Ovis aries: one gene and its partners. Each later gene encodes a partner of the first gene's protein in a complex. Links are inferred from orthologs where the notes say so. Each region holds a gene or a part of one and is shown in the gene's direction. Other genes may lie near its edges.

Evidence for each region.
Region 2: CRNKL1 (region 1) and SNW1 share a complex: the UniProt entries of both Homo sapiens proteins name them as parts of the minor spliceosome. The link is inferred for Ovis aries from reciprocal best matches to the Homo sapiens genes CRNKL1 and SNW1.
Region 3: CRNKL1 (region 1) and ARMC7 share a complex: the UniProt entries of both Homo sapiens proteins name them as parts of the minor spliceosome. The link is inferred for Ovis aries from reciprocal best matches to the Homo sapiens genes CRNKL1 and ARMC7.
Region 4: CRNKL1 (region 1) and SNIP1 share a complex: the UniProt entries of both Homo sapiens proteins name them as parts of the minor spliceosome. The link is inferred for Ovis aries from reciprocal best matches to the Homo sapiens genes CRNKL1 and SNIP1.
Region 5: CRNKL1 (region 1) and GPKOW share a complex: the UniProt entries of both Homo sapiens proteins name them as parts of the minor spliceosome. The link is inferred for Ovis aries from reciprocal best matches to the Homo sapiens genes CRNKL1 and GPKOW.
Region 6: CRNKL1 (region 1) and RBM48 share a complex: the UniProt entries of both Homo sapiens proteins name them as parts of the minor spliceosome. The link is inferred for Ovis aries from reciprocal best matches to the Homo sapiens genes CRNKL1 and RBM48.
Region 7: CRNKL1 (region 1) and SNRNP40 share a complex: the UniProt entries of both Homo sapiens proteins name them as parts of the minor spliceosome. The link is inferred for Ovis aries from reciprocal best matches to the Homo sapiens genes CRNKL1 and SNRNP40.

Annotation. Positions count from the first base shown.
Region 1 is NC_056066.1:39,182,152-39,186,615, reverse strand, and holds the start of CRNKL1 (crooked neck-like protein 1), read left to right. Parts: upstream 1-1,640; 5' UTR 1,641-1,741; coding exon 1,742-1,792; intron 1,793-4,464. UniProt on the Homo sapiens protein: Involved in pre-mRNA splicing process. As a component of the minor spliceosome, involved in the splicing of U12-type introns in pre-mRNAs.
Region 2 is NC_056060.1:87,002,792-87,006,444, reverse strand, and holds the end of SNW1 (SNW domain-containing protein 1), read left to right. Parts: intron 1-395; coding exon 396-513; intron 514-2,086; coding exon 2,087-2,695; 3' UTR 2,696-3,010; downstream 3,011-3,653. Other genes in the region: SLIRP (SRA stem-loop-interacting RNA-binding protein, mitochondrial), read right to left, coding at 3,054-3,125. UniProt on the Homo sapiens protein: Involved in pre-mRNA splicing as component of the spliceosome. As a component of the minor spliceosome, involved in the splicing of U12-type introns in pre-mRNAs.
Region 3 is NC_056064.1:55,673,106-55,677,620, reverse strand, and holds the start of ARMC7 (armadillo repeat-containing protein 7), read left to right. Parts: upstream 1-1,394; 5' UTR 1,395-1,651; coding exon 1,652-1,742; intron 1,743-1,839; coding exon 1,840-1,983; coding exon of another isoform or gene 1,984-1,996; intron 1,997-4,515. UniProt on the Homo sapiens protein: As a component of the minor spliceosome, involved in the splicing of U12-type introns in pre-mRNAs.
Region 4 is NC_056054.1:12,368,294-12,372,194, reverse strand, and holds part of SNIP1 (smad nuclear-interacting protein 1), read left to right. Parts: intron 1-491; coding exon 492-594; intron 595-3,901. UniProt on the Homo sapiens protein: Required for pre-mRNA splicing as component of the spliceosome. As a component of the minor spliceosome, involved in the splicing of U12-type introns in pre-mRNAs. Down-regulates NF-kappa-B signaling by competing with RELA for CREBBP/EP300 binding.
Region 5 is NC_056080.1:56,005,969-56,009,869, forward strand, and holds part of GPKOW (G-patch domain and KOW motifs-containing protein), read left to right. Parts: intron 1-685; coding exon 686-795; intron 796-1,600; coding exon 1,601-1,814; intron 1,815-2,215; coding exon 2,216-2,345; intron 2,346-2,887; coding exon 2,888-3,014; intron 3,015-3,216; coding exon 3,217-3,340; intron 3,341-3,428; coding exon 3,429-3,498; intron 3,499-3,901. UniProt on the Homo sapiens protein: RNA-binding protein involved in pre-mRNA splicing. As a component of the minor spliceosome, involved in the splicing of U12-type introns in pre-mRNAs.
Region 6 is NC_056057.1:10,622,292-10,626,987, forward strand, and holds the start of RBM48 (RNA-binding protein 48), read left to right. Parts: upstream 1-1,709; 5' UTR 1,710-1,721; coding exon 1,722-1,832; intron 1,833-2,358; coding exon 2,359-2,549; intron 2,550-2,555; exon of another isoform or gene 2,556-3,253; coding exon of another isoform or gene 3,254-3,327; intron 3,328-4,028; coding exon 4,029-4,174; intron 4,175-4,696. Other genes in the region: peroxisomal ATPase PEX1, read right to left, coding at 1,237-1,362. UniProt on the Homo sapiens protein: As a component of the minor spliceosome, involved in the splicing of U12-type introns in pre-mRNAs.
Region 7 is NC_056055.1:236,093,865-236,098,514, forward strand, and holds the start of SNRNP40 (U5 small nuclear ribonucleoprotein 40 kDa protein), read left to right. Parts: upstream 1-1,542; 5' UTR 1,543-1,572; coding exon 1,573-1,716; intron 1,717-4,591; coding exon 4,592-4,650. UniProt on the Homo sapiens protein: Required for pre-mRNA splicing as component of the activated spliceosome. Component of the U5 small nuclear ribonucleoprotein (snRNP) complex and the U4/U6-U5 tri-snRNP complex, building blocks of the spliceosome.

The DNA of each region.
Region 1 (4,464 bases):
GGGAGTATCAGCCCACCGTACCTGTCTCCTGAGAAACCTGTATGTGGATCAAGAAGCATACTGGACATGAAACAACTGACTGGTTCAAAATTGGGAAAGGAGTATGCCAAGGCTGTATATTGTCACTCTGCTTATTTAACTTCTATGCAGAGCATATCATGTGAAATTCTGGGCTGAATGAATCAGAAGCTGAAATTAAGATTGCCAGGAGAAATATCAGTACCCTCATATACACAAATGATACCACTCTAATGGCAGAAAGTGAAGATGAACTAAAGAGCCTCTTGATGAGGATGAAAGAGGAGAGTGAAAAAGCTGGCTTGAATCTCAACATTAAAAAAACATGGCATCCAGTCCCATCACTTCGTGGCAAATAGAAGGGGAAAACATGGAAGCAGTGACAGATATTTTTTCCCCTCGGGCTCCAAAATCACTGCAGGATGATAACTGCAGCCATGAAATTAAAAGATTCTTGCTCCTTGAAAGGAAAGCTATGACAAACCTAGACAATATATTAAAAAGCAGAGATATCACTTTGCCACAAATGTCTGTATGGTCAGAGCTATGGTTTTCTCCATAGTCATGCACAGATTTGAGAGCTGGACCATAAGGAAGGCTGATCACCATAGAATTTATACTTTCTAGTTGTGGTGCTGGACAAGCCTCTTGAGAGTCACTTGAACTGCATGGAGATCAAACCAGTCAGTCCTAAAGGAAATCAACCCTGAGTGTTCATTGGAAGGAATGAAGCTGAAGCTCCAATACTTTGGCCACTATATTCAGAGAGCCAAGTCAGTGGAAAAGACCTGATGCTGGGAAAGACTGAAGGCAAAAGGAAAAGGAGGTGGTAGAGGGTGAGATGGTTAGATGCAATCACTGACTCAACGGACATAAATTTCAGCAAATTACAGGAGATAGTGGAGGATAGAGAAGCCTGGTGTGCTACAGTCCATGAGGTCGCAAAGAGTGGGACCTGAATTCGCGACTCAATAACAACAAAAGTTAAGCGAACTGGCGCTACGAAAATTGACATTAAGACACAATGACAGAAAATTTTAAATATCTGTTTATCTGATATTATTTAAGATTGATATATTACATTGCTTATCTGACATTATAAGGCTGGGTTATTTGCTAGTACTCCGATGATTTATTTTCACTTTTTTCTGTTATCTGGCTTTAAAATTCCTTCAGTCACTTTCATTTATAAGCCATAGAATTATTTGGTCACAACTGTCCGGAAACCAAGGGGCAGTTGACCATTCGGGCCTACAAAGCCCAGAATGCACCCCAGCTCAGGGCGGCCGAGGAGGTCAGCAGCTTGCCGCTAGGTATGCCAGGAGGTAGTTTTCTACCCCACCCCCGCCCTCGAGCGTCCGCACGGTAGCCGGGTTCCTGTCCCCTTGCGGGATACCGCGATTTCACGGATCCACCCGTCCTCGCACGGTCATCCTAATCCCAGAGGCGATCTGAGGATGTGCCCCTGACGGCCCGGATGCAGCCAGCACTCCTCACCTCACCTGCAACTCCCGAGTCCCAGGCTCCGAAGAGGACGCGCAGCCCGGTTACCACAGAAACGACGTTGACTCCGTCACGGCGCGGGAAAGAGGTCAAAGGTCGCCCCAGCCAGTTCCGCTTCCGGTTCCGGGATCCCGCTTGTTGTCGGAAAGTTGCGCGGTGTGGGCGAGCCCTCGGGGAAGGTTCTGTGGTCCCGGGCTCGCCCGCGGTCGCCGCTGCAGCCATGGCGGCTTCCACCGCTGCCGGGAAGCAAAGGATCCCCAAAGTGGCCAAGGTGAGCGGCTCGGGGCCTTGTGGGAGGAGGCCGGGGATGGGGTTGGCCCGGCCTTGGTGGTGCCTGGGGCGGGAGGCGTGTGGTCCCTGGGGCGGGAGGCGTGTGGTCCCGGGAGCTGGTCCTCCCTACCTGAGCGGGGGCCGCGGGCGGGGAGGGCCAGCCGGGGATGGGGGTCACCTCCGCGTCCGCGTGGTCGTCGTGTTAAAAAGTGTTTATCTGGGGGAGGAGAGAGGTTCTTCAGCACAGACACGCTGAAACAGACACTCGCTAGTCGCTGGGGCTCCGGGTAGAGCGGGCTACGAGCTACCCTGCGTAAGGGTAGAACTGCAGCCTTGCAAAGGCTCCTGAGCCCCAGAGGAATAGGCCGTGGCTTCCTGGGCTCGTGTGAGGGGTCTCCAGCGCAAGAAGTGATGATTAAGCTGTGCTGAAGGCTGTAATAGGAGTCAACCCCGGGTGAGAGTGGAAGGAGTGAAAAGAGATGACAAGGGCTGTATTTTGGTTGATCTCACTTTTTCCGTCGGCGGTTAATACTAAAGTTCAGTTCAGTTCAGTTCAGTCACTCAGTTGTGTCCGACTCTTTGCGACCCCATGAATCGCAGCACGCCAGGCCTCCCTGTCCATCACCAACTCCCGGAGTTCACTCAGACTCACGTCCATCGAGTCCGTGATGCCATCCAGACATCTCATCCTCTGTCGTCCCCTTCTCCTCCTGCCCCCAATCCCTCCCAGCATCAGAGTCTTTTCCAATAAGTCAACTCTTCGCATGAGGTGGCCAAAGTACTGCAGTTTCAGCTTGAGCATCATTCCTTCCAAAGAAATCCCAGGGCTGATCTCCTTCAGAATGGACTGGCTGGATCTTCTTGCAGTCCAAGGGACTCTCAGGAATCTTCTCCAACACCACAGTTCAAAAGCATCAATTCTTCACAGTCCAACTCTCACATCCATACATGACCACAGGAAAAACCATAGCCTTGACTAATGGACCTTAGTCGGCAAAGAATGTCTCTGCTTTTGAATATGCTATCTAGATTGGTCATAACTTTTCTTCCAAGGAGTAAGCGTCTTTTAATTTCATGGCTGCAGTCACCATCTGCAGTGATTTTGGAGCCCCCCAAAATAAAGTCTGACACTGTTTCCACTGTTTCCCATCTATTTCCCATGAAGTGATGGGACCAGATGCCATGAACTTCGTTTTCTGAATGTTGAGCTTTAGGCCAACTTTTTCCTTTCCACTTTCACTTTCATCAAGAGGCTTTTTAGTTCCTCTTCACTTTCTGCCATAAGGTTGGTGTCATCTGCATATCTGAGGTTATTGATATTTCTCCCAGCAATCTTGATTCCAGCTTGTGTTTCTTCCAGCCCAGCATTTCTCATGATGTACTCTGCATATACGTTAAATAAGCAGGGTAACAATATACAGCCTTGACGTACTCCTTTTCCTATTTGGAACCAGTCTGTTGTTCCATGTCCAGTTCTAACTGCTGCTTCCTGACCTGCATACAGATTTCTCAAGAGGCAGGTCAGGTGGTCTGTATTCCCATCTCTTTCAGGATTTTCCACAGTTTATTGTGATCCACACAGTCAAAGGCTTTGGCATAGTCAATAAAGCAGAAATAGATGTTTTTCTGGAACTCTCTTGCTTTTTTGATGATCCAGCGGATGTTGGCAATTTGATCTCTGGTTCCTCTGCCTTTTCTAAAAACAGCTTGAACATCAGAAAGTTCACAGTTCATGTATTGCTGAAGCCTGGCTTGGAGAATTTTGAGCATTACTTTGCTAGCGTGTGAGATGAGTGCAATTGTGCGGTAGTTTGAGCAGTCTTTGGCATTGTCTTTCTTTGGGACTGGAATGAAAACTGACCTTTTCCAGTCCTGTGGCCACTGCTGAGTTTTCCAAATTTGCTGGCATATTGAGTGCAGCACTTTCACAGCATCATTTTTCAGGATTTGAAACAGCTCAACTGGAATTCCATCACCTCCACTAGCTTTGTGCGTAGCGATGCTTTCTAAGGCCCACTTTGACTTCACATTCCAGAATTTCTGGCTCTAGGTGAGTGATCACATCATCGTGATTATCTGGGTCATGAAGATCTTTTTTGTACAGTTCTTCTGTGTATTGTTGCCACCTCTTCTTAATATCTTCTGCTTCTGTTAGGTCCATACCATTTCTGTCCTTTATCGAGCCCATCTTTGCATGAAATGTTCCCTTGGTATCTCTAATTTTCTTGAAGAGATCTCTAGTCTTTCCCATTCTGTTCTTTTCCTCTATTTCTTTGCATTGATCGCTGAAGAAGGCTTTCTTATCTCTTCTTGCTATTCTCTGGAACTCTGCATTCAGATGCTTATATCTTTCCTTTTCTCCTTTGCTTTTCGCCTCTCTTTCTTTTCACAGCTATTTGTAAGGCCTCCCCAGACAGCCATTTTGTTTTTTTGCATTTCTTTTCCATGGGGATGGTCTTGATCCCTGTCTCCTGTCACGAACTTCATTCCATAGTTCATCAGGCACTCTATGTATCAGATCTAGTCCTTTAAATCTATTTCTCACTTCCACTGTATAATCATAAGAGATTTGATTTAGGTCATACCTGAATGGTCTAGCGGTTTTCCCTACTTTCTTCAATTTGAGTCCAAATTTGGCAATAAGGAGTTCATGATCTGAGCCACAGTCAGCTC
Region 2 (3,653 bases), on another chromosome or scaffold:
AAGGAGGTTGAGGAATTAGTGAAATGGGTGAAGGAGGTCAATTGTATGGTGATTGACAGTAACTACACTTTGGTGGTGATCACTTTGTGTAGTGTTTAGATGTCAAATTATAATGTTGTAGTCCTGTATTTTCCTCAAGGGAAAAAAGAAATCTCTAGCAGTTCTTTTCTGTATCAGGAATGCCTAATTGTAAAACCCTGTCTCTTCCAATAATCATGTATCTGAAATACTATAAGAAATGGCATCCTAATTGTGCCTTATCAAGGAATATATATGTTCATAAGATGTGAACTGGACATATTTATTTCCTCTGCTTCTGATAATGGTTGTATTGAAGTTGAAATTCATCTTGTCTGTGAAGAAGTTTCAATTTGTGGCATGGTATTTCAAAACAGGTCGAAACTACAGAGAAATGAAAATCGAGACATCAGTGAAGTCATTGCTCTTGGCGTGCCCAACCCTCGGACTTCCAATGAAGTTCAGTATGACCAAAGGCTCTTCAACCAATCCAAGGTACACAGAGTCTAGAAATAGCATATCTTTTTTTGTTTTTTTTTAGAAATAGCATATCTTAAGTGTTGATACAAATGACAATTTTCAGGGAAAAGAAAATTAGCATATGAGACATTTGCATCAGCCTAAGGTATGCTGGTGTGATGGGGAAAAAAAAATCAGAAGTTGCATATTGTAACTTAAGAAACAAGTTAGAATAGCTCTTAGAGTTGGCTAGGATTTGAGACACTGTTAGAAAATGAAAGAAATTAGGTAGTAAAACTTGGTTCTGGTATGTGAGTCTTTTATTTCTAGAATAGAGCCAGTGTCCTATAAAAGTGTCTCTTGGGTTATTTTTTGTCGATATTTGCAAAAATAATTTTTTTATGCTATAAAAACACAAACTTGGGATCTTTGAAAAATGAAGCTATAAAACCAAAGTACTCATCAGAAAGTCTGATTTCTAGTATCAGTTGTCATTAACTAGCTAGAACACCTTAGGCCTGAGGCAGTCCCTTTATGTTTTAATTCACCCAACATTGATGATTTACTGTATGTAAGTCAGTGAGATCAAAGGTAGACATGTCTTAACACTCAAGGAACCTGCAAGTCTACTGGAAAAGACAGATACATGTATATAAATAAAGACAAGGCAGACTGTGCTGAGAATACAGAAGTATAAATGTCTTCTGGGGTATAGAGGGGTCCCATCTCCTCCTGCAAGGCTGGGAGTCACCCTGCGGATTGTTCCAGCAAACATGCTGAGAGCATGGTATCCGAGTCACAGCAGGACAGACTCACGGACCCACCAGGGGGGTGACAGGGTACATACGTCCCCAGCACGACTATAACCACATCAGGAGAACCCAGGTCCTCGCCCCTACTCTGCACCAGCTGAGTCAGGGCCTGGCTTCCCGCTTCTAGGCCATAACCATGGTTCAACAGAGACCATGACCCCTCACACCCCAGGATACCGTTTCGTGAATAACAAAGTCTACCTTCGAAACCAAAAAAAAAAAAAAGTTGAGGAAAAGTTTTATCAAAAGGCACATTCTTATATTAACCATCACAAAACAAGTTTGTTGACTTGAGATTTTCATTGAGAATATTGTGTTACACTTCAGTAGTGTTCTCACACAGTTAAGGAGTTTAACATTACTATAAATGGCATCAGATAAAATGCTTTGCAGTTCTTTCATCTTGCCACTGTGTCTGCACAAATGGATTGTCAAGTGCCTGCTTATACTAGTATCCTCCAGTTTTAAAGACCACTTTGCTAAAACAGTCGTTAATGAGTACCATATTTAATGTAAGGACCCAAAGGTGATATGAAGAAAAAAGAGTAACTGTGACCGTTTTTTTTTTTATTGAAGGATAATTGCTTTACAGACTTTTTTGTCAGACCTCAACATGAATCAGCCATAGCTATACATATATCCCCTCCTGTGACCATTTTTTAATAACCTTTTTAATTTGTAGTTCAGATTGTTGAACATGTAAGCTGTAAATGAGCAAGGGTTTACTCTTCCTAAGAATGTAATCTGATTCAACTTATAATAAAAACTTGCATACTTTAATGTCTATTTTTCCACAGGGTATGGACAGTGGTTTTGGATGTGGGGAAGATGAAATTTACAATGTTTATGATCAAGCTTGGAGAGGTGGAAAAGATATGGCCCAGAATATCTACAGGCCCAGTAAAAATCTGGACAAGGACATGTATGGAGATGACCTAGAAGCCAGAATAAAGACTAACAGGTACCAGGGCAGACCGCTCAGTTTTAACATCTACACCAGTGAAAATAAAGTGGTTCATAGCCATTTCTCTTCTTCCCTAGATTTGTTCCCGATAAGGAGTTTTCTGGTTCAGACCGTAGACAAAGAGGCCGAGAAGGACCAGTTCAGTTTGAGGAGGATCCTTTCGGTTTGGACAAATTTTTGGAAGAAGCCAAGCAACACGGTGGCTCTAAAAGACCCTCAGATAGCAGCCGTCCCAAGGAACATGAGCATGAAGGCAAAAAGAGAAGGAAGGAGTAGATACTTTGTTCAGAGTGAACGAACTGTTGTTGATAACCCTAATGATGCAAGTCATATGGGGAACACTTTGTACATGGCCAGGATAAAAACCAAATCTGGGTGTCAGAGCCCAGCACTACTTTTTATTACAGGAGAGGGAGGGGGGTATGGAAAAATTCTACTTTGAATTATTTAGTTTTTTTAAAAATGGGTTGTGTTTGTGCTTCTCCCACCTTTTGGCATTTATAGAAAATACTGCCCCACACGTGAAATTAAGGCCACTTTCAAGAGACATTAGTACTTTGGGGTTAATATTTTGTCTAAAAATGACTGCTTATGAATAAAGTGACCCCAATCACAGCAAGTAGAAAGAAGGATGTTCACATATTGGAACTGTCCTGCCAAATGATGTTTGCCCCTGTTGTGCTGTTGATTTGGAGCGGGGAAAGTAAGCTCTTGCTTGGTGCAGCTATTTGTTTCAAATAAAAACATTTAGACAAAACTTCCTCTCTTTTATTTACTTTATTCAGTAGGCAGTGAGGGTCTCAAAAATCTTTCTCTTCATCAGATGTTTGGTCTCCTTGCAAAGCTTTGGGTTTTTGAGGTTGAACATGGAGCTGGGGGGGGGGGAAATTCAGCACTGTAAGGAAAGTCAATGTCTGCAAAAACATTAAAACTGAAAACTGCTGTTCTATGAGGGATCAGCACCAGTGAGCCAAAGGATGTTATTTGTTCCTTGTACTTAAGGCTCCCTGAACTCCCATTAAAATTTGTAAATCAGTCTAGCCCAAGGTCACATCAGTTCAGTTCAGTTAAGAAGCTCAGAGTAACTGCAGCATGCCAGGGTTCCCTGTCCATCACCAACTCCCAAAGCTTGCTCAAACTCATGTCCATCCAGTTGGTGATGCCATCCAGCCATCTCATCCTCTGTCATCCCCCTCTCCTCCTGCCTTCAATCTTTCCCAGCACCAGGGTCTTTTCTAATGACTCAGTTCTTCGCATCAGGTGACCAAAGTATTGGAGCTTCAGCTTCAGCATCAGTCCTTCCAATGAATATTCAGGACTGATTTCCTTTAGGATGGACTGGTTGGATCTCCTTGCAGTCCAAGGGACTCTCAAAAGAGTCTTCTCAAGGTCACACAGTA
Region 3 (4,515 bases), on another chromosome or scaffold:
GTTTCCCTGGCCATCTCCCAGCTCTCTGGAGCTTGCCCTAACTCATGTCCATTGAGTAGGTAATGCCATCCAACCATCTCATCCTCTGTCATCCCCTTCTCCTGCGTTCAATCTTTCTCAGCATCAGGGGCTTTTCCAAAGCCTTAGGAGGGGGCAAGTAATGGAGGATGTGATGGCCCATCAGATTCCAGAATCCACACTTGGCTGATCCTGGGATTCCTCTAGAGAGGGTCCAGAGCAGTTCCTGACCAGTGTGGGGTAGAGCCCACTTCTGTCCTGTCCCTAGATCTTTACTGCTCCATCCAGACAGGAGCAGAGAAGCCCCCTGGCCACATTGGGCTGAGATAGACTTCCCCAGGTCGAATCAGCTCTCCTTAAAATGTGAAGGTTCTGGTGAGGGGCCTGGGGACACTACCCTGCAAGAAGCAGCCAGGGTCCCCAAGCCCCAGGTGTGTGCATAGGGCTGGGGCTGATCACAGCCACCTGAGCCCACCAGGTGGGGGCTGCTCCCAGTGGGGCTGTGGCAAGCTGGAGTGTGGCAGTCACTGTCCTTGCGCAAGGCCCTTGCCCTCCAGAAATTCACAGCCTAAGCCGCTTCCACCCCCACATTTTGAAACACGCTGGAGTCCAAGAGGGCCACCTTCCTCCCTGGTGCTCTGTCACCTGACCCCTTCCTGAGAAACTGAGAAAGGACTAGATAGGAGGGCTTCAGCATTCTGGGCTCCCCACAACCCAGAAAGCCACCAAAGTAGTATTTCTGGGGTCCGATGGTGCTGCCCCGGGTGCGCCCCGCCACCTGGCAGGCTCAGCTCGGGACTGGGGAGCAGAGGATACCAGGCGCGCTGACTTGTTTTCATCTTGGCCTCGCCTCGGGCATACAGGGTCACAGTTCCCCCACCAGGGATCCAAGCGTGTCCCCTCCACTGGGAGCAGAGTCTTAAGCACCGAACCACCAGGGAAGTCCTCACTGGGCTTTTGGGAAGAGCCGACCAGAAGGTAGTGTCAGAAGAGCCACAGAGGGGACACAAGGAGCAGGCGCTCGCGTTTCCACGGCGTCCCTGGATGGTGGAGGGGCGGGGACTGCGGCCCATCGCCAAGCGCGGGTGCATCTGAAGGTGCTTCTACCCCGACAGTCCCCCACACAGGCGACCCCCGGCACCTCTGAGCTCCTACGGGCCCTTGGGGCTCGCCTCAACACAACCGCAGGCTTCAGTCACCACTTCCATCAAGAGGCGGATCGCCGCCTGCGAGAGACAAAACGCTGGAAGCGGGCCCACGCTCAGCGACGGCCCCGCCCATCGCCCCTCGCCTCGTCGCCCCGCCCCTTTGGCCCTTTGGGCGTGGCCAAGTGCCGCTTCCCCCGGAAGTCCGGAACCAAGCCGAACGTCCCGCCCAGCTGGGACGGGCCTTCCTCACGCGGCGCGAGAGTGGGTCCTTGTCTCCTGGTCCCCGACTTAGGTGTTCAGTCCCAACTCCTACGAGGTTCTGAGTCCCCACCGCGTCTCCCACAGCCCAGTCTCAGCTGCAAGCTGCTGGAGAATTCGTTTCCCCTCCCCGGCCCCGCGAAGCCAGGTGGGGTCCTAGCCCCGCGCCCCAGCCTCAACCTTCCACACTCTCCCGCCCGCTCCCCGGGGCCCCTCGCCGCCCGCCCATGGCCCAGAAGCCGAAGGTAGACCCCCACGTCGGTCGGCTGGGGTATCTGCAGGCGCTGGTCACGGAATTCCAGGAGACGCAGAGCCAAGGTGAGTGTCTCGGGGTGGGGGGCAGGGGGGGCTGGGCCGGGGTCCAGCCGCGACCACCGCCCCGACCCTGGCGCCACTGCCCGCTTCTCCATCGCAGACGCCAAGGAGCAAGTGTTGGCCAACCTCGCCAACTTCGCCTATGACCCCGGTAACTACCAGTATCTGCGGCAGCTGCAGGTCTTGGATTTATTCCTCGATTCGCTGTCGGAGGAGAATGAGACCCTGGTGGAGTTTGCTATTGGTAAGGATGGGGCGCTCTCCTAGGTGCCTGATGAGGTAACGAGTTAGAAATGAGTTGTTGGGAAAGGGCTCTTCGGCCGTCTCTCAGCAGCGAAGGCAGACTTTCGTAGTGTCTGTAATGCCTCCGCGGCCAACACAGCGTACAGGTTCACGGGTGGCTTGAGTCTGGCCTGGAACCCACGCCCAGGACCATTTCTACCTGTCTACCTTCCCTGTCGGTTAGAGGTAAGATCATAAATGGGAATGGATTGAAGCCCCTTGGAGGGGCGGGGTGGGGGCGGGGGAGTTGAGCGCTCTTTTAAAACCTCTTTATCTTATATGTTTCACCATCAAGAGAAATAGCGTTCACTCGGAAGGGCTTATGGCACCTGTAGTTGTTCTGGTCTCAGACCTATTGATTTATTCACACGTCAGGTGTTTGTTGGGCTGGTACCCTGTGAGCAAAGTATTGTTCTAAATGCTGGTGAGATGGCCAACAAGTTGGGAAAAGATCTTTGCCCTCAGGGAATTTACATTCTAGTAGAGAGAGACACAAGGTTTACACACAAAAGAAGCTGAGGCACTGAAGAAAACAGGCTGATGAAGAAGAGCAAGGGAAGGAAGGGACTACTTCTGGTTTGGCCCTGGCGGGAAGGCACAGGCCGGGCCAAGACCCCAGAGCAGGAGGAGCCAGAAGGAAGGCTGATGTGGCACCATTGTGGTGAGTGAAGCCCAGAGTGGTACTAAATGAGAGAGAAGGATTTAGTGCTGCTAAATTAGAGAGCACCTCGCACCAGTTTACAGGGATTCAGATCTAGGCATTGGGTGGGAGTTTGGAGTTTATTCTGAGGGCAAACCAACATTCCTGGAACTTCCCTAGTGGTCCAACAACTAGGACTTTGCTTTTCCACTGTAGGGGCGATGGGTTCCATCCCTGGTTAGGGAACTGCTGCTGTTGCTAAGTTATTTCAGTCGTGTCTGACTCTGTGCAACCCCATAGACGGCAGCCCACCAGGCTCCGCCGTCTCTGGGATTCTCCAGGCAAGAACACTGGAGTGGGTTGCCAGTTCCTTCTCCAGTGCATGAAAGTGAAAAGGGAAAGTGAAGTCGCTCAGTCGTGTCTGACTCTTAGCAACCCCATGGACTGCAGCCTACCAGGCTCCTCCGTCCATGGGATTTTTCAGGTAAGAGTACTAGAGTGGGTTGCCATTGCCTTCTCTGGTTAGGGAACTGAGATCCTGCAAAAAGCAAACAAAACCAACATTCTTTCTGCAGCATGTGTCTTTAAAAAATAACATTTCTCTGCATAGTGAAAGGAGTCTTATCTTCATAGGGAATGAACTTAATAATTCCATTGTCACCAAATACCCAGTTAGGCAGACTTCTCTAATAGTTCCCAAGCGGACATTTTTTGTTGTTCTGTATAAACCAGGATCCATGCTCTTAATCTGGTTGTTATGTACGTTAGATCTCAATCTCTCGCTCTCTTTTGAAAGAAACTTTGTATTTTATAACAGTAGAAAAATTGCGAAGGTAATACAGAGTTTCTATGTATACACACCGAGTTTCCTTATTATTACCATCTTACATTAGTATGGTACACTTGTTACAATTAATAAGCCAATAGCAATAGTCCTGTCTAACTCTTTGCAACCGCATGGGCTGTAGCCTGCCAGACTCCTCTGTCCATGGGATTTCCCAGACGAGAATATTGGAGTGGGTTGCCATTTCCTTCTCCAGGGGATCTTCCTGACCCAGGGATAGAACCTGCGTCTCCTACACTGGCAGACAGATTCTTTACCACTGAGCCACCTGGGTACCCCTGTTATTAACTGAAGTCCATGCTTTGTTCTGATTTCGTCACTTTTTCCCTCATAACCTTTTACTGTCTCAGGATTCCATCCAAGATCTTATGTTAGATTTAGGCTCCTTTGGGCTTTGCTGGTTTTAGACTTTTTCTTTTTGTGAATGACCTTGGCAGTTTTAAGGAGTACTGGTCAGGTATTTTGTAGGTTTTCCTTCAGTTGGGATTTGCCTGACATTTTTCTCGTTATTAGACTGGGATATGGGTATTGGGGAGGATGACCACAGAGGTAAATGGTAAAAGGCCATGACATATCTCCTCCAACTGAAGCTATTTTGGGAGGTAGAGGGGGGTGCTTCCCACGTGGGATCTTAGTTCCCTGACCAAGGATCGAACCTATGCCCCCTGCAGTGGCAGTGTGGAGTGTTAACTGCTGGACCACTAGGGTCTCGACTCTGCAGAAAACTTTGCTAAAAAGAGCAGTCGGGAGGGAGGTGGGAGGGGGGTTCATGTTTGGGAACACGAAAAATAAAAATAAAAAATAAAAAGAGCAGTCAGCCAAGGCGAGTTTTTACAGGATCAGGAAGCACCTTTCCCAAGGCAGGAGACCTCTGAGATCCCACCCCACTGAGCCGGGGGCTCCCAGGGTGGGTAACCAAGCCCTGGACCCAGAGTCCACGGTCCCCACTTCACTTTGTAGCTGATCCTTGTGGATGAGTCCTATCTCTTCTGAGCTTCGTTTCCTCATCT
Region 4 (3,901 bases), on another chromosome or scaffold:
CCTGAAGTGGAATTAATTGTGTTCTTCTAGAAATGGGGGTGAGAGGGGAAGTCCAGTATAGTAATCAAGGAGAGTGGTAGGAATGACATTGGAGAGCGAGGAGACAGAGCCAGAGACTTTGCTGATAGATCGTGATTGTGTGGGGAAGGAGCATGGAGGGCTGTTGGTCGAGGGGAGAAAAAGAATCAGGGTGACTTCTAGGTTTTTTGCCTGAGGAACAGGGTGGATGGTGGCACTAATTATCCAGCTGGCAGAAAACAGAGGAAAGTGTCTTGGGTGGTTGGGAATCTAGAGTTGCTATCTAAGTGAGAAGTTCTAGTAGGCAGTTACGTATGTGGAAGACATAGGACCAGAAAAGTGAAGCTCCTGATTCTTTTAGTGTGATCAGCAAAGACATGGTGTTTGTGTTAGTTGGATATGCCTGATGCTTGGAGCTGTTTTGTATGAGGGAATGAAAGTTGAGATAAATGTGTGTACCATTTTCTGAACAGGTCCCCAGCCAAAAAGAAAAACAAATCCTCAGGGAGAAGAAGCAAGTCTCCCCGGAGTAAGAGAAGCCGAAGTCCTCACCACTCAGCAATCAAAATAAAGCAGGTAAGTGGACTGAGATGTTTTCGTACTGGCTCCAAACCTAGAGCCTCTCCATCATAGCTAAAGTGGTGTGTGTGTGTTTTCCTGTACCTGCAGTGGGCTTCTCCAAAAACTGGGCTTTTTTTTTTCTTTTTTCTTCTTTCTTTGTTAAACTTTTTATTTTGAGATAATTGTTGATTCACATGCAGTTGTAAAAGGTAATACAAAAGCCACAGTTTGTCCCAATAGTACCATCTTACAGAATTATAGAACAATATCCCAACCAAAATGTTGACATCAGTTCTGTCAAGATACAGAACATTTCCATCACCACAGGATTCCTCAAGTAGTTCTTTTATATCACACCCAGTTCCCGCCTACCCTTACCCCTCCAACTCCTGGCAGCTTCTAGTCACTTCTCCATTTCTGTTATTTTGTTTCCTCAAGAATGCTATGTAAATAGAATCACACAGTATGTAGCCTTTCTGGATTGGCTTTTTCCACTCAGCTAAGTTCTTTTGGAATTCATTTATATTGTTGCTTTTGTCTGTAGTTCCTTCGTTTTTATTGCTGAACTGTAGTCAATGGTATGGATTTAACCATTTGTCCATTAAAGTGTATCTGGGTTGTTAGCAGTTTTTGGCTATTAGACATAAGACTGCTGTGTATACATTTCTGTACAGGTTTTTGTGTGAACATAGGTTTTCGTTTCTCTGGGATAGATGCCCAGGAGTGCAGTTTGTAGATGGTATGGTAGGTGCTTTTTTTTTTTTTTTCCTAAAACATTAATAAATTGTTTTCCAGAGTGCTGTGTTAGTTTGCCAGGTCTTCCATAACAAAATACCACAGACTGGTTGCCTTAAACAACGGAATCTAAGAGGCTAGAAGTCAGAGATCAAAGTTTCAGCGGTTTGGTTTCTCCTGAGGCCTTTCTCCTTGGCTTGCCTTCTTTGTTGGGTCCTCATAGTCTTTCCCTCTGTGCTCGCCCATCTCTGACTCACATCTTCTTTAACCACATCAGCCATATTGGATTAGGGGCTTACTCATTTTAACTCAATCAGTTCTTCAAAGACCTTACCTGCAAAAAATCTGGTTACAGTCTGAGGTGTGGGGGTTGAGACTTCAGTATGTAAATTTGGAAGGGGCGCAATTCAGTCCTTACAGTGGCTATCCCTTTTTATAATGTGAGTGATCCAGCATTTGGTATTGTGACCATTTTGACCATTCTGATAAGTGATAGTGATACTGTGATTTTAATTTGCATGTCCCTGGTGGCTAATGACGTTGGGCATCTTTTCATGTGTTTATTTGCCATCTGTGTTTCCTCTTAGGTAAAATGTCTCTTCAGATCTTGTGCCTATTTTCTAGTTGGATTGTTTTGGGTTTTTTTACTACTGATTTTTAAGAGGTTTTTTTTTTTTTGGTAATATATTCTTAGATACCAGGCCTTTTTGGAGTGAGAGGTTTTCCAGTATTTTCTTTCCGTCTGTATCTTGTCTGTTCATTTTCTTAAAAGAGTTTTCCTCAGAGCAAAAGTTTTTGATTTGTTTGGAGTCCAGCTTGTCTGTTTTTCCTTTTACAGATTATGCTTTTGGTGTTATGTCTAAGAACTTCCCTGACCCTAGAACCTGAAGATACGTTTTTCTTTAATATTCATTTAAGTCCATGATCTGTTTTGAGTTTGTTTTAATCTAAGGAAGGAGCCTTAAATCAAATTTCCTTTTTCGCCCCGTGGATATCCATTTACTCCAGCACTAGGTGTGGAAAGACAATTTTTCCTCCCTTTAATTGCTTTTGCTTTGTCAGAAATCAAAAGTGTGTGTGTGTGCCTTTATTTCTGGGTCCTCTGTTCTGTGCCATTGATCTGTCATTCTGCCAGTACCACAGTCTTGATTACTGGAGCTATATAATAAGTCTTAAAATTGAACAGACTGGTTCTTTCACTTTCTTCGTTTTAAAAATTGCTGGGACTTCCCTGGTAGGCCAGTGGTTAAGACTCTGAGGCATAGGTTTGGTCCCTGGCTGGGCGGAACTAAGGAGGCACATGCCACAGGACATGGCCAAATAAATAAATAATTGTTTTAGGAATTCTCGTGCCTTTATCTTTCCACATACATTTTAGAACAATCTTGTTTGTATCTATTGAAAAAACTTGCTAGTATTTTGATTGAAATTGTGTTAAACTTGTACTTTTTGAAAAATTTTAAAAAATTATGTAGCGTCTTCCAGTCTTTGAATATAGGTGTATCTCTGTTTATTTAGATCTTTGATTTCTTTTATCAGTGTTTCAGTGTACAAGTCCTGTATGTGTTTTGCTAGATTTGCACTTAAGTAATTTTTTTAAGTTATCATTAAATGATGGCTCTAGTCCATGGGGTCGCTAAGAGTCGGACACAACTGAGCAACTTCACTTTCACTTTCATGCATTGGAGAAGGCAATGGCAACCCACTCCAGTGTTCTTGCCTGGAGAATCCCAGGGACGAGGGAGCCTGGTGGGCTGCCATCTATGGGGTTGCACAGAGTCAGACACGACTGAAGTGACTTAGCAGCAGCAGCAAGTGATATTTTGAATTTCAGTATTTACTTGTTCATGGCTAGTACATAGAAATATGATCCATTTTTGTATGTTTATCTTACACCCTGTGGCCTTACTGAACTCATTTATTTGGCCTAAGTAAATCCCAACCTAAAACTTGGGATTTTCTGCATAGATAGTCACGTCTGCACAGGGGCAGTTCTGTCTGTCTTCCTTTCCAGTGCATGTTCATTTTATTGCCCCTTGCTGCATGGCTGGGACTCTCGCACTGAGTGGAGCAAGAGCAGTCAGATCAGGCTCTCCTGCCCTGTCCTCATTCCTGAGGGACAGGCGTTCAGTCATCGTCTTGTGCTCTTTCCTCCAAGTTTTATTTAATTTTTGACAGTGCTGGGTCTTTGTTGCTGTTGTGGACTGGAGAATCCCAGGGACGCGGGAGCCTGGCGGGCTGCCGTCTGTGGGGTCGCGCAGAGTCGGACACAACTGAAGCGGCTCAGCAGCAGCAGCAGTGGACTTTCTCTAGATGCAGTGAGCAGAGGCGACACTCTTGTTGTGGTATGCAGGCTTAGTTTCCCTTGTGGCGTGTGGAATCTTCCCGGACCAGGGATCAAACCCGTGTTCCCTACATTGGCAGGCAGACTCTTAACCACTGGACCACCAAGGAAGTCCTCAGTCCTCTGTTTAAAGAGCCTCTGGGTTACAACGTGCAAATAGAGACACTGGCATTAAGGAAATGGATTTTCCTATGAATTTGAGCCAACTTCTGCTACCTAAAAAGATTCAAAGCCAGTCCTGAT
Region 5 (3,901 bases), on another chromosome or scaffold:
ACCAGCATTTCTCATTTGGACTATTGCAGTAACTTTTTCACTGGTCCCGTTGCAGCTGCGATCCTATCATGGCTTCTAGCCAGCTCTCCTGATTAATCTCTTACCACCCCTCTTTGCCTCCACATCTGTTTCAATCGCATTGGCTTTCACGATGCTCTTCACACACAACAGATCTTGTCCTGCCTTGGGGCCTTTGCTTTTACTGTCCTCTCTGGAGCACTCTTCCTGTATCTTCAGGGTTCCCTCTATCATCTCCTTTGGTCTCTACTCAAATATCAACTTGGTGACACTCCCTTCTCCATCCCTCTGCATCCCCTTAACCTGCTTTATTTTCCTTCATCTGACTTATCCCTACCTGACATATCATGTTTTAGGCATTTCATTTATTCTGTCTCCACAACTAGAATGTAAGCCACACAAGGGCAGGAGTTTCTGTCTGTTTTGTTCACTGCTTTATCCTCAGCACCTGGAACAGTAGCTGGCACAGAATAGATGCTTTATAAATATTTGTCCAAGGACTGAACATGGAGGAATAAAGTGAGGGATGATGAGAGGAAAGAAAAACTCACCCTTGAGCTCACTGGAAAAGAAGCCTCAAGTGTCACTCAGTGGGTGATAGCAAGTACACTTCAGTGGGCCCATGGTAAGCCAAGCCTGACCGTCCTTCCTCTGCCTAAACCCATAGGTGCCGGAGGAGGCTGATTACGAGGCAGTCCCTGTAGAGGCCTACGGGCTGGCCATGCTGCGGGGCATGGGCTGGAAACCTGGCGAGGGCATCGGCCGGACCTTCAGTCAGTGAGTTTCTCGGGTAGGGACAGGGGACAGCAGACCGACCAGGGGACAACTGATGGGCCAGGGAACAGACCCCCCCCCCCATGATTACCGCCCACCCAGAACCATCAAGGCAGGGAGAGGGCACGTTACCACCCTAAGTATTTCAATAGTCCCTTCCACTGCTGTTATAACCTCCTGTTTGCCCTTTGAAACTCCATTAAGAGATCCTATTTATGTAAACATTGCCTCCCTGGGCATCAGCTAACTCATCTGAAAAATGCAGATAATAACAGTACTGACCTCACTGTTTTCAAAGTTAAGTGAAATGGTACACATAAAGCCCTTATAGTAGCCCTTGGCCACAGATAAGCATAGGCTAAACCCTTGATATTGTCATGATCATACAGACCTGTAATCCCTTCTCTACCATTCCAAAGAATTCTGAAAACAAGACTTTTTTTTTCATGAAATACTTGGCAGCCAAATATGACGTGAATTGACAGTGAGCATTTTACAGTCTATTTATCTTGTTTGGTGTGAATAGTTTCCCATGTAGAAATATTGGTATATTTGGCTATTGGGACCTGTCTCAGAATCCACTCTAGATACCATGTCATAGATGGTATACTCAGCATGTTATTCGGTTGAACCAAATGAAATTGCCATTTCTGTAGGTCATAAATAGTCCTAATATGAGATTGGGAAGGATGTTCTTGAACATGTTGATAGGATGGGAGTTTAGTAGTGGTTGGGGATAGTGGTGGGGAACAAGACATTGAAGACTGATGCATCCCCCCAACAAGTCCATATTCTGTGCTCCCTGCAGAGTAGTGAAGCCCTGTGTCAATTCACTGAGGCCCAAGGGGTTAGGACTGGGCGCCAACCTGACCGAGGTCCAGGCCCTGGCCCCTACCAGCCCCTGCCGCCTGCCGAGGCCAGATGAGGAGCAAGAGAAGGATAAGGAAGACAAGCCTAAAGGACTGGTGCCTGGAGGAGCTGTGGTGGTTCTTTCTGGCCCCCACCGAGGCCTCTATGGGAAGGTAAGGAACCTTGATGTGCCTGGAGCCAAAAAACAGGCAGCAGGGAAGATTGACGTGAGGGTCAGAAGGAGGCAGAATTGGGTGTGGAGTATAAAGGCTGGAAGTCCTTGTCTTTTAGGGCTGCCAGACCCACATCTCATTCCGTAACTAAGGACTACTTGCCAGGCCTTTCTGAGCCTCAGTTTTCAACTAAAAGGGAGAGAATGCCTTTTGCCACAAGTCCCTGAGGATTAGATACTTAAAATGTATCCAAGCCTCAGTCTGCTGGGAGAGACGCATATTAGAGATAAGACGCTTATTAGAGATAAGGGTGGACAACTTGGTCCTAGGAACATGGGTCAAGTCCACTCAACCCCTGCCTTATTTCCCCCCCGCCCTACCCCCCCCCACACACACTTTAGGTGGAAGGCCTTGATCCTGACAATGTTCGAGCCATGGTCCGTCTGGCTGTGGGGAGCCGCATGGTGACTGTTAGTGAGTATTGCCTGCGGCCTGTCTCCCAGAAGGAGTTTGACAAGAACTTGAATCTGAGTAAGTGAGCCTGTTACTCATCTGGGGGAGTTGGAGCAGTGTTCCTGGGGGTGAGAGTTAGATCTGTAGAGGGATGGGACATTGGTCTGCATGGCAAGGGTGACTTCTGATCAGAATTAAGAGGTGAGAGTGAACATAGTGGTTTATGCAGTTTGACTGAAGAGAAGTTTCTCTAGTAACCCTGGGTCTTTAGCCTCTTTCTAGGGAGGAAGCAACAGGAATGGAAACCAGTTCCTACCCTTGGAAAGTTTTTGTCTCTCAGGTGGTGGACTGCTCCATTGCTAGGGATGGAGAACAGCTAGGACTAGGGCATGATGGGGAGGAAGGCATTCTAGGCATGGATGGGCCATTTTGGCACATGGGAGGTGGGTTAGACAGCTGAGAGGAGGCAGGCAGTGTTCTAATAGCTAAGGCAAAGGCTGGATGGTGAGCCGGGGTACTCTGGCGGATGAGAGGTGGCCTGAGGCTGAGGTGTGGCCTGGAAGGGAAGCGAGTGAGATACCAAGGCTGTTTCTGGGTTCCCTTCACACCCTATTGAACAGGTCAGGTGAGCAGAACTTCCCCTGGGGAACAGCACAGAACAACCTCATCACGGAAGACCCTCCAGGATCAGGACAGCCACATATGCTGGGAGGACTCAGAGAGGAAGCGGAAACACCATCCAGACCGGTGGGACACTGAGCATCTCAGGTGTAGGGGTAGGGGCAGAACTGTGGGGAGGCTCCAGCAGAGAAGGCTTCCAGGGCAAGGCAGGTGCCTAGAAGGAACTAGGAATGGCATTATGGGTGGGTTTCAAAACATCGGCAAAGGTGGGGTGACTGGAACATGCCCCCCATAAAGAGCTATGCCTGGTGTTGACCCCTCTCCGCAGACAGGATGGGCCTGCAGCCAAGAATGAGAAGGCAGCCCCCCGGAGTCAGCACTGGCTGCACAGGGATCTGCGAGTGCGGTTTGTGGACAAGCTGCACAAGGGCGGCCAGTATTACAACACCAAGGTGGGAACCCTACACCTGGGTCTGCTTCTTCCCCCCGGGAATGGGTCCCCTTAGCTAACATTCTCATATCTGCTGACCCTTTCCCCAGATGACAATTGAAGACGTCCTGAGCCCAGACACCTGTGTGTGTCGGACAGATGAAGGCCAGGTCTTGGAAGGTGAGTCTGAGGGATGGTTGCTGGGTCTTCATCATCCTGGAGGCAGATGAGAAGACTATCTTGGGTCAAGAGCCTGACCCAGGCAGAGGCTGGGAGTTTGGGCAGAATTGGGTTTTTTTGTAAGGCCCAACACCCTCTGACATATCATTAGACACTTCTGTGATGGTGAATATCTGAGCCCCACTTGCCTCTTCTGAAAAATTATCATGAAGATAACCTATTTCTCCTTCTTGGGACTGGTGCCTTGCAGGGATGTGTGTAAGCTCCCCATGCAGGGCAGGGCATACGATGTGCCCACAATAAATGGTGTCTGTTATCACCCCCCACTCATCATTGTTGTACATAAATGGTCCCTTTATTACAACTATTGCCAGGAATGGCTCCTTAGGTTTCCTCCTTTGGG
Region 6 (4,696 bases), on another chromosome or scaffold:
AGGTGGCAGGATCTACCTAGGACTTGGTGACAATACTAACTCATCTCCTGCCATGAAGGATAGCTCATCAGAGCCTAGAGACTGTCTGCTGTTCAGATGCTCAGTGACTCTGTGCCACCCCATGGACCGCCAGGTTCCTCTGTTCCTGGAATTCTCCAGGCAAGAATACTGGACTGGGTTGCCATTTTCTCCTTCAGGGGATCTTCCCCATCCAGGAATCTAACCGGCATCTCTTACATCCCTTACATTAGCCAGAGGATTCTTTACCACTAGCTGTCACCTGGGAAGCTCCAAGAGACTCTCTATAGTAAAAGCAACAATGGCAGGATCTATTGAAATTAACATGCTTTGAAAGACTGGGGAAAAACAATCTAGAAAAGTAGTTAAAGGCAAGTAGCTAAAATGGAGAGGTGGGATATTTAAAATTATTGCAAACTCCTAAATATTTCCTGCAAGGATTAGCCCGTAGTGGGTACTGTGCATCCAGGATTTTCAAAGATTTCAAGTATTCTTTTTGTCCTCATAGCACACTCAAACTGGTAGACCAGGTGCCCCTATTTTATAATTACGAAACTAGGGATGTGGTTAGAACTATGAACTACCACAATCACAATGTCCAGAGGGCAACTAACTGCAGAGGTCCAAGTATGCATAATCCCACTGCACGTTCCGGGCACACCTAGGAGGTATTCCGAGCAGCGGAGACGCAGCGAGAACCTTCATCTTATTAACCTATCTCGCTCGCGGCTCAGTCTCTATTAATTTACAGGGACTCCTGGGCCACAGCCAGGCAGGCGCACCTGGAAACCACTGGCAGGAAAAACGTTTTTTACGATCGAAACAAAACAAAATCCGCAGACAAACCCGACTTCTCCAAAGCTTTTCCAACCTGGAGTGAGGAATAGCTGAACTCAGAGAGAAAATTATCAGGATGTTTGAGAGCCCAGTTTCACCGAGTGAAGACCTGGAATACGTACGGCAAGTTAACGCAAAGGCCCGGGGCTGCACCCGACGTGGTAGGGCTGCAAAGACCGCCCGGACCGGCCCTGCTCCAGAGCGGCCCACGTTCTGGCTGATGAACAGGTCGGCGGCGCGGGGAGAGCAGCCCGCGTCCCGCCGTCGGGAGACGCCCGAGCGGCCGCTGCGTCCCGAAAAGGCCTGGGTCCCGGGCGGCCGCAGACGGCCCCCGAGGAGTCCCGAGTCCGGGCTGGGGAGTCCATGGGGCGGGCGCGTTACCTGGAGCAAGTGCAGCTGGGCCACTAGGCGCCGCGGCAAGTGAAGGAAGCAGTCGCGCGTGCTGGTGAAGGCCACGGTCACGGCCGCCCCGCCAGCAGCACCCGCCAGCCGACCGCTGCCCCACATCCTCCGCCAGCGACGGCCCCGCCGGAGGCCCACCCCAGCGGACCCGGGCTGCCTGCGGACCGAGGGTGACCGGGCCTGCTACGCTCGATCGGCCCCGCCCCCAGGCCCCGCCCCTCGCGCCCGCCGCGCCTCGGGAGCTGGAGCGGCAGGCCAGCCCAGTCCGGCTCGCCGGGCCTCTCCGCCGCGCCGCTGGAGGGCGGCAGCTCGCTCGCCGCCTACTTGCTCACAGGAAACGATGGCCAACCCTGTGGCTCCTTCAGCCAATCTCGGCGCGCCTTGACCCATCCCTCTCTCTGATTGGGTAATCAGGAGGGCAACAGGCGGATGTTGTCGTCTCTGCGAGGGCCAAAGCCGGCAAGATGGCGTCCAGTGGAGGGCAAGTTGGGGGCGTATTCGATCACCACGTCCAAAGGGCTGTGTGTGACTCGAGAGCCAAGTATCGGGAGGGCCGACGGCCTCGCGCTGTGAAGGTAAAGTGATTTTGGTTTCATTCGTTGTCGTCGGTAGCTTTATGTAAGCTGTAGCTTCACACGCCCAGTTAATGTAAATAAAGTCTTGAAAGGCTGCGGTCACATCCATTTGCTGGAGATGAGTGTGAGGGACGCCGGTACCCAGGTAGCAGATACTCTCGCGGCCTCTTTAGTCAACTGTTGGAGCTCCGTGAAAACGGGGTATGTGTTTTAGTCGTATCTTCCGTGTTTACAGTAGTGAATATTTAACTCTTTCCTGTAACATTTACCGAGGCAGCTTCTGAAGACATGTCGATTGGAGGTAGTCTATTATGTGCTTTAGCTCGAAGCCCTCACATGTAGGGTGACTTATTGTTTCTACAAAGAGAAGGGCAGATTAAAAACAAAAACAAAAACACCTTTTCTGCAGACCTGAACAGAGTAGTTCTTGTTTTCAGGGTTTTTGTTTGTTTGTTTGTTTTGAATAGTAACAGGTTGTCCTAGGCTTGTTTGTGAAACACATTTAATGCGTGTGCATTTCTTTTAGGTCTATACAATCAATTTGGAGTCTTGGTACTTATTAATACAAGGAGTTCCTGCCGTGGGAGCAATGAAGGAATTAGTTGAGCGATTTGCTCTATATGGTGCAATTGAACAGTATAATGCTCTAGATGAATACCCAGCAGAAGACTTTACAGAAGTTTATCTTATTAAATTTCTCAATTTACAAAGCGCAAGGTAATATACAAGTCAGGCAGTGTCTCATTTCCTCTGTTCCCATTGCTATCATTTTGGCCTCCCTCATTCTTTCATGAATTACTCAGTAATCTAACATGGCTTTTTATTTTTCTCCAGTATTCTTAATGTAAGTGTTAGCTTTATCAAAAGTCTGTCCATTAGGTCATCCCCATGTGTAACCATTTTCTGTCTTGTAGTGTGGTAGATTAAAAACTGGGTTTGGACTAAGTTTTCAGGTTCCACTGCTTACTAACATGATGACCTTGGACAAGTTATTTAATCCCATTAAACCTGTTTTCCTGTCCTATAAAATGTGTAAGGATGAAATGAGATAATCCATGTAGAGGGCTTAGCAGATGCCTCCTGCTCAGAATGCGGTAAACAACATTAGCTGTTAGGTTTCTTGTTATGCACCTATATGAATTGACCCCATCTTTTTTTTTTTTTCTTCTGAATAGCATAAATCCTCTGCTGTAGTAAGGGAAATATGAAATGCCTCATCTTATATTCTTGTCACTAATTTGCTTCAAGACCCATCCCTTCCCTGGCTATTACAATTCACATTTTCTGTGCTACAAACAGTACTGGGGTATATGGGTCATATATTGTTCTCCAGTTGCTCTTATGTATAATCTCACTGCCCTAACCAACTTGCCAGCTCCTCATGGTTAGGGAAGTATATTTCCTTATTGTGTATTCATTCCATGAAGCTTTTGCATCTCCCACACCCCTTTTACAGTGTGACATGTGGATTTGAATCCTGGCTCCACAAACCAAGGTGAGCTTGGACAAATAATCTCCCCATGCCTCAGAGTCATCATAGGGATGTTGAGAAGTGTGATTTCAAGTGAAGCATTTAGGCCACTGCCTGGCACATGGTAAAATCTCAGTGAATATTTCTTACCATTTACCTTGGACACAGAAGTACTTAATTTCGTAGTAATTCCTGGCCAGTCATAGATGTTTAGTAAGTATACATTAAATGAATACTATCCTCTCCTTTTCTCATTTACTGTTATATATTTGTGTTTTCTCCATTATTAAATGTTTATAATTGTAATATTTTTATTAATTTCTTATCTTTGAACCCCATTATAGGAACACATTGTGCTAAAAAGGCTAAGCTGGGCATGAGCTAATTTTTGAGGGCCTTTTAACACAGAATCTCTATTTCATGACCACAGATTGTGTACCTCAGGCCAACCAGCTGAATCTTATGTTGGTTAAAGGGAGTCTGGATATGTTTGGAAAACTTAGCTTAAAACCTATGAAGACTCTTGGGAGAGGGGGAAAAAGGCTCTGAAAGAATATGCAGTGGATCAGTAGGGTCAATACCATTCACGTGCAGAGCATCGCAGCTCCGAAGCTATAGGATTTATGTATACAACAAAGTCTGGACTTTGCTTTTTAGATCAATGCATTGTATGCTGGTTAAGCTTTCACCCTAAGTAAACCATGGTATCGTGAATTTCTGCTTAGGATGGCCAAGAGAAAAATGGATGAGCAGAGTTTCTTTGGTGGCTTGCTTCATGTGTGCTATGCTCCAGAATTTGAAACAGTTGAAGAAACCAGAAAGAAATTACAAGAGAGGAATGCTTATGTAGCAAGAATGACTAAAAATAAAGGTATGTAAAGCCTACTACTAAACACCTCCAATGTGTCAGGCATTTTGCTGAGTTTACCCTCCTAGAGTTTTCCCAGTCTAGTGACTATAAGCTACGAAGTTTTTTCTTTACAGAATGTTATGTAATCTTGCCTGGGAAGGGATAGATGTTATTTCATGGAAGATTCCTGCAGGATGAGAATGGTGGCTGAGTTCTGAAGGGAAAGTAGACATTACCCAGAAAGGGAGAGGAACAGATGGAAAGATGGGCCAGAGGAATAAATGAGCGTCATGCATTTTAAGGAACTGTGAGTAATATAACCACAACACAGCAGCTGACATGTGAATCTGAGATAAAGGGGACAGTAAGTGAATCCTGAAAGGCCTGTGTCCATGCTGAGGAATTAAGGCTTTGACCAAAAGGCAGTGAGAAACAACTTCTGATGTGCAGACCAGTTTGCACTGCGAATCTAAAACTGAAAACAGTGGGAAAATTCCCCTTTCATCAACACCAGCTGGCCAGATGCCCCATGTTTCTAATAGA
Region 7 (4,650 bases), on another chromosome or scaffold:
CTCCAGTATATTCACACTACTAAACCTGAGGCATCAAGCTGCCTTCCCCACGACACCACTCCCTACACCCAGCAAAACACACACACACACACACACACACACACACACACACACACACACACACACACACACACACACACACACACACACACACAGAACCCTGTGATTGCCCATTAATCTTAAAGTAAAAGCTACAAAGTCTGGCCTCTACCCGCCTCCAGCTTCATCTTGTACCACACTCCCCTTCATTTTCTGTCCTGGCCACAATGGCCTCTTTGTGCCTTTTACTCATTTTCCTCGCATTTGCCACAGGACTTCTGCACATGCTGTTCTAGATGGAACATTCTGCCTTCCTTGCTTCACCCAACTAATTATAATTCTTCCCTGAGGCTATCAGTTCAGGCATATTTTCCTTACAGAAGCCGTCCTGTTTATTCAGGCACTCATTAACACCAGGTACCTCTCCTAGGTAGCACACACTTCCATACTTCCCATTTCCTAGTGAGATCTGGTGAGCATCTATTTCCCCCCAACCCCAGACTTAAAGCTCTGAAGTCAGGGACCATGTTTGGTTCACAATGTCTGCCCAGTGCTCTGTATTATAAATATTAGTTGGACGACTGAGAAGAAGGCCTAGTTCACAGGTCTGAGTTCGAATTTCTCAACAAAACTGTACTCCGGAGGCCAAGAGTCGGACATTACCTTCATCTCTATCTTTCTGAGGAGGCGCTAGTAAAGGCTGCGGAATCATGGCAGTGACAAGTCCGCCTCTTCAGTCAGAGAGGACCCTGATGGAGGCTAGGAGATGGGCCTTTTCTCCCTGGGATCGCCTGGGCTAGGGCTCTGCACGGAAAACACTGTTGAAGAAGTCAGCCATCGAGGGCCCCAGGCTGAGCAGAGGCTCCCAAAACTCTGCTCCAGGCTAGAAAGGGAACCCAGGCTAGGTGCTAAGTCGCTTCAGTCGTGTCCGACTCTGCGACGCCATGGACTGTAGCCAGCCAGACTCCTCTGTCCGTGGGATTCTCCAGGCAAAAACACTGGAGTGGGTTGCCATGCACTTCCCCAGAGGATCTTCCCCACCCAGGGATCGAACCCGCGTTTCTTAGGCTTGGAACCCAGGCTACTACACACCAGAGCTAGGAACTCGGGGCCCCCTTTGCCCCTTGCAATCAAACCTGCATCTGAGAAGAGCCAGCCTCAGACCACTCCAGATCCCACAGCCACCCGCCCCTCGACCTTCCTTACACTTACTTGTTGTCTGCTTCTGGTCTTTCCCTCGCAGCATTGCGCGAAACACCAAAACCCAGTCAGTGAGCTTCCACCCACAAGACACAGCGCGCCTAGGCGGGACTCCAGCTCTATCCACCAATCCTGAATTCGTACTCTAGTGATGTCAGAAAGAACTGGCCAATAACAGGAAAGTTCTCAGGGGGCGGTGCTGAGAGGTATATTGGAAGTCGATTGGGTTCTATCGGCCGGAAGTTCTACGGGAAAGACTAAGTCCGAGCCAATCGTGAGGTACCTGAGGGGGTCGGCGCGGTCAGTGGCGGCCTGAGGATAGCGGCTGCCGCCATGATAGAACAGCAGAAGCGTAAGGGCCCAGAGTTGCCACTGGTCCCAGTGAAGCGGCAGCGACATGAATTACTGTTGGGAGCGGCAGGGTCGGGCCCTGGAGCCGGGCAGCAGCAGGCGGCGCCGGGAGCTTTGCTGCAAGCGGTGAGTATAAGGAGCAGGCGGCCTTCGGCCCTCAGCTCATCTTCCTCTCTCCTCAGCACCTGGTGATCCTGCGCGGCCCTTAACCCACACTCCCGGCCGGAGCGGGACTCTCTCTCCTAGGAGTTAAAGCAGAAAAACACGGTAAAAGCGGCGTACACCCGGCGATTCTCCCTGCGTTTCTCCATTTGACGCGCGTTTTCAGCGTCTTGACCGCCCTGTGAGGAGGTGTTAGAATTAAGAATTGAGGATCTTGAGCTAAAAACCGAGACCAGGGTTTTGACTTCTTAAATGTTCCAGGGATCCAGTATAGAATAAACGATAAATTTCAGAAAACTTGGAAGATTGGATGGATGAATGAATGAATGAATGAGGGAAGGGGGGAAATGAATGCCGCTGGCTCGTTTTGGGGACTTGGGAAACTTGCTTTTCCCGTTGTTTCTCTGCACTGGTATTAGTAATAACCAAAGAATAGTTACCATCCGTTGAGCCCTTGTGCTGTGTAAATGAAAACTGCATTAATCTCGGTAACTTCCCAAGAGTTAGGAAATATTATTATCCTAATTTGTAGACGGGAAAACAAAGTTATATAGTAAGTGATAGGACTTCCCTCATAGCTCAGCTGGTAAAGAGTCTCCCTGCAATGCAGGAGACCTGGGTTTGATTCCTGGGTCAGAAGATCCGTGGAGAAGGAAATGGCAACCCACTCCAGTATTCTTGCCTGGAGAAACCCATGGACAGAGGAGGCTGGTAGGCTATAGTCAGTGAGGTCGCAAGAGTCAGACATGACTTAGTGACTAAACCACCAGGAACAGCTTTTAAACTCAGAATCCATGCTCTTAACTACATTTCCTGTAAAACTGAGGTAGTGATCACACCTCTGCTTCTATCCTGTTAGGCTCAGCTGACAAAATATATGTCTTCCCGCCCCCCACAACTCCTCAACCAGCTGGTTAGCAAATGTTGACACCACCCTCAAACTATATCCAGACTCACTACCGCTTCTTCCACCTTCCAGCTTCTTTGGTGGCTCAGACAGTAAAGAGTCTGTCTGCAATGGGGGAGACCCAGGTTCAGTCCCTGGGTTGGGAAGATACCCTCGAGAAGGAAATGGCAACCCACTCCTTTTTTCTTGCCTGGGAAATCTCATGGACAGTGGAGCCTGGCGGGCTACAGTTGATGGGGGTCACAAAGAGTTGGACATGACTGAGTGAGTGACTAACACTTTCTACCACTTCCATCACTAGCTCCTGGTTTAAGCCATTAGGGCTTCCCTGTTGGCTCAGAGGTTAAAGCATCTGCCTGCCATGTGGGAGACTTGGGTTTGATCCCTGGGTCGGGAAGATCCCCTAGAGAAGGAAATGGTAACCCACTCCAGTATTCTTGCCTGGAGAATCCCATGGACAGAGAAGCCTGGTAGGCTATAGTCCAGGGGGTCGCAGAGTCGGACACGACTGAGTGACTTCACTTTTCCTTTTTTTTTTTGCGATTTCACTTTCACTTCACTTGTCTCATCTGGCACTATGGCTGTAGGATCCTACTGGAATTCCTGTTTCTGTTTATGGATGCTCAGTCTATTCCCAAACCAGTAGCCAGAGGAATCCTTCTAAACATAAGATCATATTACCCCCCGCTGAAAACTTGCCATGGTTTTTCACGTCAGTCAGAGTAAAACTGAAATCTTGGCAATCTTTTGCCCTCTTTCACTTGATCTCTCTGATCTACCAATTTTCCATTGCTCACCTTTCTCCAGTCACAGTGGCTTCCACGCTCCTGCTACAAAGTCTTTGCATTTGCTGTGCTCTCTACTGAAATACTCTTCTTCCAAGTGTCCACATGGTTTATACACTCAGCTCTTCCCAATCTCTGCTCAGATAACACTTTTCCACTTTCCTGACCAGCCCATTTTAAATTGCCATACCTTGTGCTCATCTACATTGCTGCTCTGTTTTTCTCCATAACACATGCCACCGTCTATATGTTTTACTTGTTTCTGCTCACCCTCCCTCTTTTCTGTCCTTCCCACTAGAACACAAGCTTCATTTTTTATTTTGTTCAGTACTGTTTCCTAAGTGCCTGGGACGGTACCTGACGCAGTATTTCCTGAGTAAATGAGTAAGCTGGAAACTAAGGAGATTTGCAGATTGTTAATAGTGTGCTTCTGTCTGGCAAGAATATCAGCCTGGGTTTCTTTGAATTGCCGCGACTGCAACTGGTCTTAATGTCCAAGACCATTATCAAAACTACTTTCTTCAATAACCTGTACCCTGCAGGGTTGTTGGAAGCATTCGTTCAATCATTCATTCATTAAACGAACTAGAGACTGGGAAACAGTGTCATGTTACACTGGTAAGGTTCCTGCACTACAGAGCCTTTCTCGTGGCAGAGCAGGGGAGACAAACTAAACAAATACATAAGAAACGTAATTTCAGATAGTGATAAGTTCTTTGAGGGAAAAAAGTAGTGTTGATCAAATGCAAAAGAGAGGTAGGGTGCTGCTTGGGCTTGAGTGTTCCAGGAACAACTTTCTGGAGAGAAAGCACTGGAAAGGAACCACACACAGAAAGATCTCGGGGAAGAGGCCTCCAGTCGGGGACAACAAAAGATCCTGAGGCAGAAGTAAGTTTAACGTGTTTGAGCAATTAAAATCTGGCAATGGGAGAGCAAGTGAAGAAAGAGAGTTAGTGTAACATACATTGGAAACTTCAGCAACAGAGTATCAAATTGGAGGCATAAGTTAGAAGAGTTGCTGTTCTCTAAATCAGGAGAAATACACTCCATCATTGTTTCCATCGTCTTTGCCCTGTACTCCCGGTTCCCCAACTTTTCGGTCTCCTTTGTATGTAATGACTACACTGTACTTCTCTCATTTGTTCAGGGTCCTCCAAGATGTTCCTCCCTTCAAGCCCCAATCATGCTTCTCTCAGGACATGAAGG